3 linked regions of the Bombyx mori genome follow. The protein of the gene in region 1 purifies or fractionates together with the protein of each later gene. This does not show direct contact. Links are inferred from orthologs where the notes say so. Each region holds a gene or a part of one and is shown on either strand. Other genes may lie near its edges.

Region 1 (3,109 bases):
TAAAGCGAGAGTTGAAAATTCTTCAAGAAGATTCCCCAGTTCACGATGCACCATCTCTTTTGCAGACAACATGTGCTCTGGTTGGCGAAAGCCATTTCTGAGTGTTGGGTGCAGATATGTGGATATTTAGGTCACAGTCCTCATTTCGTACGCTAAAAGTCTACCAACCATATTGTGGTTATTGCACTGTAGTTTTTAAATGTAATGCACGGTAATTTGATTCTGAAAGACGGTTTTTTTTTATATTTGTAGCTTGTATATTTGATCTGGTAGCACTGGTATGAACTGTAAATGTAAAGCGTAAAAAACCGGTATTCTTAAATAAAAACCGGTATTTATCGGTATGTATAAAAACCGGTTTTTCTCCGGTTTTCTTCGAACCGGTTTACATCCCTACTACCTATAAATGAAATTAGCAAAGTTACGCTTTCAAGGCTACCAAGGCAAGTACATGATTATTAATAATAGCTTCAAACATTATCAATTTATCGGGAAAACAATTTGTGATGATTTATACATTGTTTGCAAATGCCTGTGGCGTTTAAGAACGCACATTTTTATGATGCGTAAGCCGGAACGCACGAGAGATGGGAAAAAGAATATAGTCTGTGAGACGGGACCTTTTTTACCACCAATTTAAAACGAAAATATAATTTATAATGTGTTTAATAACTAATGTAATATAATTACTTAGAATTGTTTATGCCGCTACAACAATAAAATTTCTATTGTTTCAACTGTGGTGTTAATTACATAAAACACGACTTTACGGCGAAATAAAGAAGGGACTCTATATGGATTCCCATATGCCTATTAGATTGATTATGCCTCCAGTTATCTTGTTAATATGGATGAGACAATTGTACAAATGAGACATACAAACAAAGGTGTATTGAAAAGTTTTTGCCCATTATTTATTTTTAAATTTTTTGTTCTCACAAAAACTAATCGAGGAACAAGCCGAGAATCTGAATCTTTAATTCAGAACGTGCATGGCTGCATGGGTATCAATTAATAACAGTTTAAACTGGAACAATGATTATTAGGTAGTATAAAATAGAAATGAAAAATAGGTATATTATTTGAAACAAATCCTTGATCGTTCGACTATAGTAGAATGTCATTTGTGCCAGTATAGACCATAGACAATTAAAAAGTTTTTCCACCATTTTGTTTCTTTACTCTATTCCTTTTCGTCATATGGCGTAGTAGTTGTTCGAATCGGTCCGCCATATTAAATGAAATCAATAAAATAAGACAAAATGTCGCCTTACTAGTGCGCGGAAAGTAATCCAATAACATCTAAATATTGTGTGATTAAATCATCAAGAGGATCACAATGGAGAATTCCTACGGTGTGGGAGTAGTGAACAGATACGCTCTTTTCTTGGACGATGAGACCGATCCTCTTGATGCGTTAAAAGCGCGAGAGCAGGCGAAGGAGCTCAAAAAGAAGACCAAAGAAGCCGAAAAAGAGAACAAAGGCAAGCCTGAACCCAAGCCCGCTAAAGGCGTAACCGTTCCCACCCGGAAGGGCATTAAGGAAACTCAAAATGTGAAGTCTCAAGACATCAAAAGTGGAGAACAACAGAAGGGTAAGGGACCTGCACGCCCGGTCGATCGTAATGTTGAGCGTCCGCCTCCGCGTCGTCGTGAAGATCGGCCGCAGAACGGTACCGCAGAAAACAAGGAAGGAGCTCCGCGGCCACCGAGACGCGAGTTCGGCGATCGTCGGCCTAACTTCAACGAGCGCCGCAATTTCAACGACAACAACCAGGACGGTGCAGAGCGTCGCGGTCCACCAAGACCACCGCGTGAGCCTCGTGAGGGACCGCGCGGGCCGCGTTCTTTTGACAATAGAGGCAAACGTGAGTTCGACCGAAGATCCGGCTCTGACAAAACCGGTGTGAAATCAGTCGACAAGAGGGAGGGCGCAGGTCCCCACAACTGGGGCACGATCAAGGACGATCTCGACGAGTTGAACAAAACCGGTTCTGAGGGTGAAACTACTGAAGAGAAGGCTCCTGAAGCCGGCGCTGGCGATGGACAAGTGCCTGAAACTGAACGTGCAGTGCCCGCTGAGGAAGAACCGCGTGAGTTGACACTCGATGAATACAAGGCTTTACGCAACGCGCAACGCACCGCTCCGCAGTACAATTTGAGGAAGGCAGGTGAGGGTGAAGACTTGAGCCAGTGGAAAAACCTGGTTCTGTTGGAACGCAAGAAGGAAGGTGACCGTGGTGATGATGAGGAAACTGACGAGGAATACGATCTGGCCGACTATCCACAGCGCGTGGGTCGCCAGAAGCGTTTGTTGGGCATTGAGTTCACATTTAGTGACGGTGCGAGGCGCGGCGGTGTGGGCGGGCGAGGCCGCGGACGGGGCCGGGGTCGCGGACGAGGAGTGCCGCGCGAGGAGCCGCCGGTCGTGGAGGAGCGCCCGGTACAGCGTCACCACGTGACGCCGCCGAAGGTCGACGACAGCAAGGATTTCCCCTCTCTCAGCTAGACTCGCAGTGAGTCTAGATTCTTCTCCCTTTCGAAGCTAGAGTTACAAATTATAATGTATGTACTGTTATTTTTGAAGTAAATATACAATATATTTACAAGAGTGTGTATTGTATTACATTGAAATCAGTCTACGTAGTTATTGGCTCTAAATTTTGTGAGTTGATTATAACTTGCAACGCTGCCTGGGGATTGACATGTTTCTGTGGAAAGGAGTAAAGGGGGAGGATTCGTCTTGTTTAAGTTTTATTTTTTGATACACATACTACTGCTACATACTTATTATTGTGGATTTATAACAATAGCTTTTATTATATTGTAATCACACCAGCTTTTCATTTTACTGGTTGAGTAATCGGTGATAATAAGATTTCAACCTTCAGACTGACGACAAGCTATGGATGAGTTTGAATCTACTCCGTCACAAGTTAGTATAGTATTTTGTGAAGAAATAACCCTTGCATTTTATATCATGAGTTTGTGTTGACAAATGCAGACTGGGAACTGTAAATAGTTATATTTTAAAGATAAGGTCAAAAAGAACAAGGTTAATATTTGTTGTTACACGAACTTCTTGAGTAAATAAACATTTTGTATGTGT
Region 2 (3,500 bases), on another chromosome or scaffold:
CGGTTAATCCACTCCATAGGAGATCTTCCCTATGTGTCTCGTATAAGGTCCAGAATCCTACACTTACAGTATTATATGCGTATCGATATACTGAAGTGACGTTAAAGGTTTTTACACTGTACAGAAATTCTATTTGAATATGAGTCTAGTTGAGGCCGTCAGCGCAAAAGTGGCCTAAGCTTACCATAGTTATTATGGAGCAATGAGGTTTAAGTTTTCATGAATTTGAATTTGAGTAGGCAAAAAAACAATACGCGCAAAAATAATGTTTACATGTTTGACAAAATGGGTAAAACTATGGATAGGCTGGTTTTGCATCAAAATTTATTATATTTTAAATACCAGGTGGGCTGTGAGATCATCCAACCAGCTAAGAAATAAAAAATAAAAATAATAATTGCAATATACAATTATAAACATTATGAAAAATTTTGGGTTAGGCCACTTTTGCGCTGACGGCCTCAATTAAAATAGTGTAAGCAAACATTTCAAGGAAATGTTATACGAATGCGTTGGTTAAATTATAGGAAGGGAGTATGGCAGGCCAACTGTCTTCTGAAACCGGAAGCTCTGAATTCATGGGGCTTCATTGCCATAGAATTGGATCCACGTGGATGTAATTATGAAGACATCGTGTCGAAGGTTTTTATCTTATCTATATATATAAAAATGAATTGCTGTTCGTTAGTCTCGCTAAAACTCGAACGGCTGGACCGATTTGGCTATTTTTGGTCTTAAATTATTTGTGGAAGTCCAAAGAAGGTTTAAAAGGTATATAAATATGAAAATGGTCGCAATTAAATAAAAATAACAATTTTGTTTGTCCTTTGATGTGTCCCCTATCAGGCGGATTCCTTTTGTCTTTTATTTATCGATTGAGGTACTACGAAGTCTGCCGGGTCAGCTAGTTTATTATAAATTATGACATAAAAGAAAGAAAAAAAATGTGTTTAATGTGAAACCGTAGACAACCATAAACAATATTAATGTGTTCCGTAAGTCTAGCTAAGAACGAAGCCCAATAATTTATTTTCATACGCGGAAATCAAGATGTTGTTTAGATGTAGCTTTGAATATTGGTTCCATTTGTGATAGAAATTAGATGCTTAAGAAAAAGTAATATGTAATTCATTTTTATTTTACTTTACAACATTTTTTATTTTACAACTGTAGAAATTTTGTTTTTGTTTTGTGTTCACCCCAAATATAATTAGCAATTAATAATTTAGAAAGGATGCACGCAGCCTATTCAATCCTACTAGCCTATACAAAGTAGTAATGTATTCAAAATACTATTTTTTTGTTATTCCTTAGATGGGTGGACGAGCTCACAGCCCATCTGGAGTTAAGTGGTTTCTGGAGCCCATAGACACCTACAATATAAATGCTCCTACCCACCTTGAGACATAAGATCCAAGGTGGGTGGGACCAACGGCTGCCTCACCCTTCAAACCGAAACACATTATTGCTTCACAGCAGAAATAGGCAGGGCGGTGGTACCCGTGCAGACTCACAAGAGATCCTACCACCAGTAATTACGCAAATTATAATTTTGCGGGTTTGATTTTTATTACACGATGTTATTCCTTCACCGTGGAAGTCAATCGTGAACATTTGTTAAGTAAGTCTTTCATTAGAAAAATTGGTACCCGCCTGAGATTCGAACACCGGTGCATCGCTAAACACGAATGCATCGGACGTCTTATCCTTTAAGCCACGACGACTCTTTATTACATAAAATATTACATAAAAAAACTTCTTTATCTTTTCTTTGCTTCGTCTTAGTATTGGTTAATATAGTACAAAGAAACGTCGGGTTAAAACTGGGGGAGCTAAGATAGTGTTTTAAGTCCGCTATAGACCATTAAAGGATTGATGCGGTTGAACGAGCTCACGGAACGCTGTTGGAGGTTGCTCTGGATACGAATACACTGGACGACCCATTCTTTAGGCCACGACGACTTCATATTCTTAACGGTAACGCGTTTGTGTATGTTTCAGCTAATGAATACCGGTCGACAAATGGGCATGAACGTGACCCAACCAAAGATGGCTTGCTTCAACATCCGTATAAATGACCTGCACAAGAGTATGCTGCACGCTCTAGAAAAACAGGTCAATTTCCTGGTCGTGGTCGTTTCTGGACGGGGCCGCGATTATTATCACAAGGTACCTACGTTATTAGAGTTGCAAATTAAAAAAAAACCAACAATGGATCACAGATAAAATTATTTATATTTTGTAAGCCTGATCGTAGGACGTCTTGAGAGTCCGCACGGGTCCCACCACCATACCTATTTTTGCCGGGAAGCAGTAATGCGTTTCGATTTGAAGGGTGGGGCAGCCGTGGTACTGTAAACACTGAGATCTTAGAACTCAGATCTCAAGGTAGGTTCCGGTATTTACGTTGTAGATATCTATGGGCTCCGGTAACCGCTTAACACCTGCTGGGCCGTGAGCTTGTTCATTAACCTAAGCAATAATAATAATAAAACCGAATCGTTATTAAGCTGTCGCAGTAATGTGATGATCATTTGGCATCTTTGGTGGCCTTGGTTCTTATAATAGGCGTATGTCATTAAAGTTGAACAGTGGGATCGGAGATATTCTGATTGGACTTGCAGAAGATTTCTAAAACGTCCTATTGTTGTAATAATAAATTGAAATCAATTTTTCCACTAAATAAATGGGTGAACGACTTCACGAGACCTGATATTAAATGGTTATCGGAGTCCACACATATTAAGATGTGAATGTCGTCACCCACCTGAGACATGAGGTCTAAGTCTCAATTGCGCATAACGGCTGTCCCCTCAAAACCTATCAAGGTAAGATTGACTTTGATTAATGTATGATATCTTTGAATGCAGCTGAAACAGATTGCCGAACTCAAAGTGGGTATACTGACGCAGTGTATCAAAGAAGATACCGCCACGCGCCGAATGAACCCACAAACAGCTCGGAACATTTTACTAAAGGTAATAAATAAATAGCTCATTCTGTAAATATAAGAATACTCGGCTGACGCTTCTATTAATATTACTACGCCTAATACGAGTTCTACTAACACTAGTACAGAATGATTGTCGTTCGGATTCTTTTGGTAATCTCTCTTTTTCTAATCTCTGTGAAGTCTGTTTTTGGCACTTGGCCTTTTAGGAATTTTATGTATATTAGACTGATATTAATGCGCGTAATACTACTATGCGCGTAATACCACTAGTATTAGTCGCTCCGATATCCGTTTTCGCTATTTGATAATAGATGGCATTGCATTTCTCGAACGTTCTTGATTGTTCTAATTGTTTTGATATCCGTTTCTGCTATTTCATGATAGTCGGCGATACTTGTATCTACATAACAATACCTGTAATCTTACTGAAATATTTAGGTATAAGATATTTGAAAATCTAATATACCTAATATTATTTTAGTTAAATCACTTGTGTTATATATTTTAGGTGAATTCGAAGCTTATGGGAATAAATCAGGCATTGGAG
Region 3 (3,500 bases), on another chromosome or scaffold:
GTGTGCAGTTAGTCAAACTTTCAATTTTTATATTATCCTGTAATTTCATTTTTATTGTGTACCACAAACATACTGAGGAGATGTTAAAAACAAATACACACAAGCTCGAAGTTAGAAATATTTTAAAATAAAATTCAGAAAGAACTTGAGCATTTGGCCTTTCGGATATTAATTACCATTATTACCAAATAGACCAAGAAATCAACCAAATGGTGGTCCTACATGACACACCAGTGTAAAATTCTAACCAGCAGAAATTATAAAATAATCATTACTTGTTCTAAAGCCAAGAAATTAAATTGAGAAAAATTTCTACTGCAATCCTTTGTCCTTTGTCAATCCTTTGGAATATTATAAAAACAACTAATGAAAAAATATATAATTGACTTAGCAAATTTCTTAGTATTTATTTTGCACAAATTGTGCTTTGCAATTTAGTTAAAGTATATTAATTAATTCCAGAGAAATATTACAATTATATAGTTATATTTGAATATTCAAAGCGCCAGATGTCAAGGAAAATAAAACATCCTTACACAACCTTTTGTTTAACTCAGTTTTGTTCAAAAATAATAATTTAAATATTGTTAATTAATTAATAAAGGTGAATGTGTCAACAGTCAGTAATCAAAGTGTTGTGGTTGTGTAGTCATTTTTTGCATTTGTGCGTACTTTGATCGTGTACTCATGTAGAGAATTAAGAGGAGAGTAAAAAATGTGGAGAGCCTAATACTACCGTCTCGGCACAATCTAAAGGGCCGGCGGTCCTGGGGGCTCCAGATAATGTTAGCACCAGTTTTGTTCAACCATTAAACTTATATTGAGATAAGCCTGAGTCTATTGGTTCAACAAAACAGGACCACAAGTCAACATTTCTGACTTGAGATCCTTGTTCAATGCTGAATATTGAATGTATCAGAAATATAATTAACTTGTTCTGGTTCCTACTTCACAGTAGGTTATTTAAACTGTTTGAAAGTATAATAGTTTCTCACTTTTTAAACAAAAACGATTTTTTCGAGAATCATAACGAGAGCACGTGTACAGTAGTGACTCACCCGCCCTGATTGTTTATTTTCGTAGATTCAAGCTGCCTCGCTGCCTCCTCTGTTTTCTTCAATAACATAAGTTTCTGGGTCAAATTTCTGAAAATTAAAATTTAATATTTTATTACTATATAAAACAAAACCATTTGGTTATTTTCTTGCATGTAACCAAACCATGACTACGATCCATGCCATATTAAATATTAGATTCAGTGAGTAGATATTCTCAGTCAGAATTTACGGTGCATTAAATTGTCTAATTTCCTTTTTGGTCCTAGGATTAATCCTTTTGGTCCTAGTCACTTTATGTATGTATCTACTGATTTACAATATTTTTTGTAATTTATAACTTCTTATATATGGAAGAAAGCAATACCTGTTTTTACAGATTAGTGTGTAACAGCATTCCATGACTATTTCAATCAAGAACATTGTGTAGCAGCTGTTACGGTCTACTTCAATTAGAAATTGTTAGATTTTGTTTTTGTAAGCGAAATGAATTTATCTGTTTATTCAAAACGTGGTAAATGCGATCAAAGATTTGAAACAATTCCCAATGAGCCGCCATCTTTGAGCAGTTGGATAAAATTCACATGACTTAGAGGAATGTGAAGAAAAAAGAAAGAAAAAGAAATATGCTACATCTATCAGCACATGCCTAGTTCCGAACCTGCGAACTATTGCGTGAAAAGTGAAAGGTATCGCTTCCACAACGCGCAATACATGTCCCACAATAAACTTTATTACTACTGCAATCAATTAAAACAAGACACGAGACACTAAATCTTAATATAAAATTTGGCAAGTACATGTATTTTTTTTTACAATTAGTTATGTGTCATATTCGGCTTCTAAGGATTGTACTAGTCGGTGTTTAATTACGAACATTGCCAATGTGAGGTTACAAGCTAACCTATTCCTATTGTAGATTTTAAGTCTCTTTATTATTTGGATATCCCGTTTATTTGGTTGTTGTGATGATCGTGACCTGATATGGAGTAGGTGGCCATATAGTTCAAACACATGAATATCAAGTGAAGTAACTAACCAATGTATGGTCAATATTTCTCAGCATTATCCCTATCCTTCAATAAGTCGGAGGAGGCTATGCATGGCCGGATAGATAATTCTGATGGTATATGTGGGTATCGCGAATTACGTTTAGAGATGTTAATATTTAAGATATTACCTATACATTGCTGAATAATTTAAACTGTTAGTATTACCAGTAACTGCCCTGTTGACTGATATCATTTCTATTATCTTACAGCTTGGTTGCAGATCTAGATTTGCTAATGGCCCTGAAGTATGGTGGTTACTCCCCATCAAGTACCTCAGCGGTCTCGAATAAAAAGAAATTTCAATCAAATAGTCAGATCGCTCAAGTACCCCAAATAGAGTTTATACAAAGTGCTCATCTATCGGCTAGGCTATAATTTCGACAGGCGGGAGAAACATCTTTTTTTATCTTACATAGACAAGTACAGTTGATCACAGTGGACGCCATGTTATAGAGCGACTGCGGTCCATAGATTTTATAACACAAATATCACATGTAGTGATTGATAATAATAGTATCCATTTTCTTGCTTTAATCCTATATTACGTGACATCGTCGGAGCATGTCCTTTTATCGTGTGGCATGAGTTTTAAGACCGTCCACACTAATAAAGCTAGTAATGCTAGCATTTATAATTGAATATGAAATTTCGAAAAGGGCACATGTCGCATATTTTGTCAAATAGGTTTTTTCATATACATGTAGTTTTGAGGCTTACCTACACCCATTTTATAATAATTCCAGTAATTTTCAATTGCCAATTAACACTAAAATATGTCTCTAAAGTTAATATTTTAAATTTTACACTGCTTTAGAAAATAATCACTTTTTTTCATTTCCTGAACATTTTATATATTCAGAGATGTGCCCTTTTCGAAATAGCATATTCAACTGTAGTGTAGTGTAGTGTAGTGTAGTGGGGTGGGGTGGGGTGGGGTGGGGTGGGGTGGGGGTGTGGAGGTACCGGAAGTGCATCTCCTGCAGCATGGTGGCGCGGCGCTGCGAGGAGGCGCAGCGGGAGAGCACGGCGAGCACGGCGCGCTCGGGCACGTACCAGACGAGCGCGGCGCCGATCGCCTTCTGGAACTCCTTGTGCGCGTTCTCCACCTTCGCGCTGTGGATGTCGTGGAGGCTGCACACGTACACCATATAGTTACTGCCGACCCAACCTCAACATCAGCCATGCTTGTGTCCGACTAATTATTCACTCTTCCATTCAAAATCATTTTGATCTTACATATTATAGCACTCATGGTTAGGTAAAAATGAAAGTGTGAACCCCCAAAACAATTCCTCCCTGAAGTGTTCCATGCTATACAAGATATTAACAGAGCTAAAGTTTCTCCTTTACCTCAGAACTTCCACAAAGTATGAAACCTAGTCAAAATGATGTG

What was found. The genes of interacting proteins can lie anywhere in the genome.
Region 2: the proteins of VIG (region 1) and Ago2 purify together in Drosophila melanogaster (affinity purification with western blotting; 3 studies listed by BioGRID, with this or other methods). This does not show direct contact. The link is inferred for Bombyx mori from reciprocal best matches to the Drosophila melanogaster genes vig and AGO2.
Region 3: the proteins of VIG (region 1) and RNA-binding protein FXR1 purify together in Drosophila melanogaster (affinity purification with western blotting; 4 studies listed by BioGRID, with this or other methods). This does not show direct contact. The link is inferred for Bombyx mori from reciprocal best matches to the Drosophila melanogaster genes vig and Fmr1.

Annotation. Positions count from the first base shown.
Region 1 is NC_085116.1:3,010,764-3,013,872, forward strand, and holds VIG (plasminogen activator inhibitor 1 RNA-binding protein-like), read left to right. Parts: upstream 1-1,339; coding exon 1,340-2,509; 3' UTR 2,510-2,609; downstream 2,610-3,109.
Region 2 is NC_085118.1:6,279,253-6,282,752, reverse strand, and holds part of Ago2 (argonaute 2), read left to right. Parts: intron 1-527; coding exon 528-642; intron 643-2,001; coding exon 2,002-2,169; intron 2,170-2,870; coding exon 2,871-2,978; intron 2,979-3,461; coding exon 3,462-3,500. UniProt on the Drosophila melanogaster protein: Essential for RNA interference (RNAi); double-stranded RNA induces potent and specific gene silencing.
Region 3 is NC_085112.1:15,603,504-15,607,003, forward strand, and holds part of RNA-binding protein FXR1, read right to left. Parts: intron 3,239-3,500; coding exon 3,071-3,238; intron 1,146-3,070; coding exon 1,059-1,145; intron 1-1,058. UniProt on the Drosophila melanogaster protein: Polyribosome-associated RNA-binding protein that plays a role in neuronal development and synaptic plasticity through the regulation of protein synthesis of mRNAs.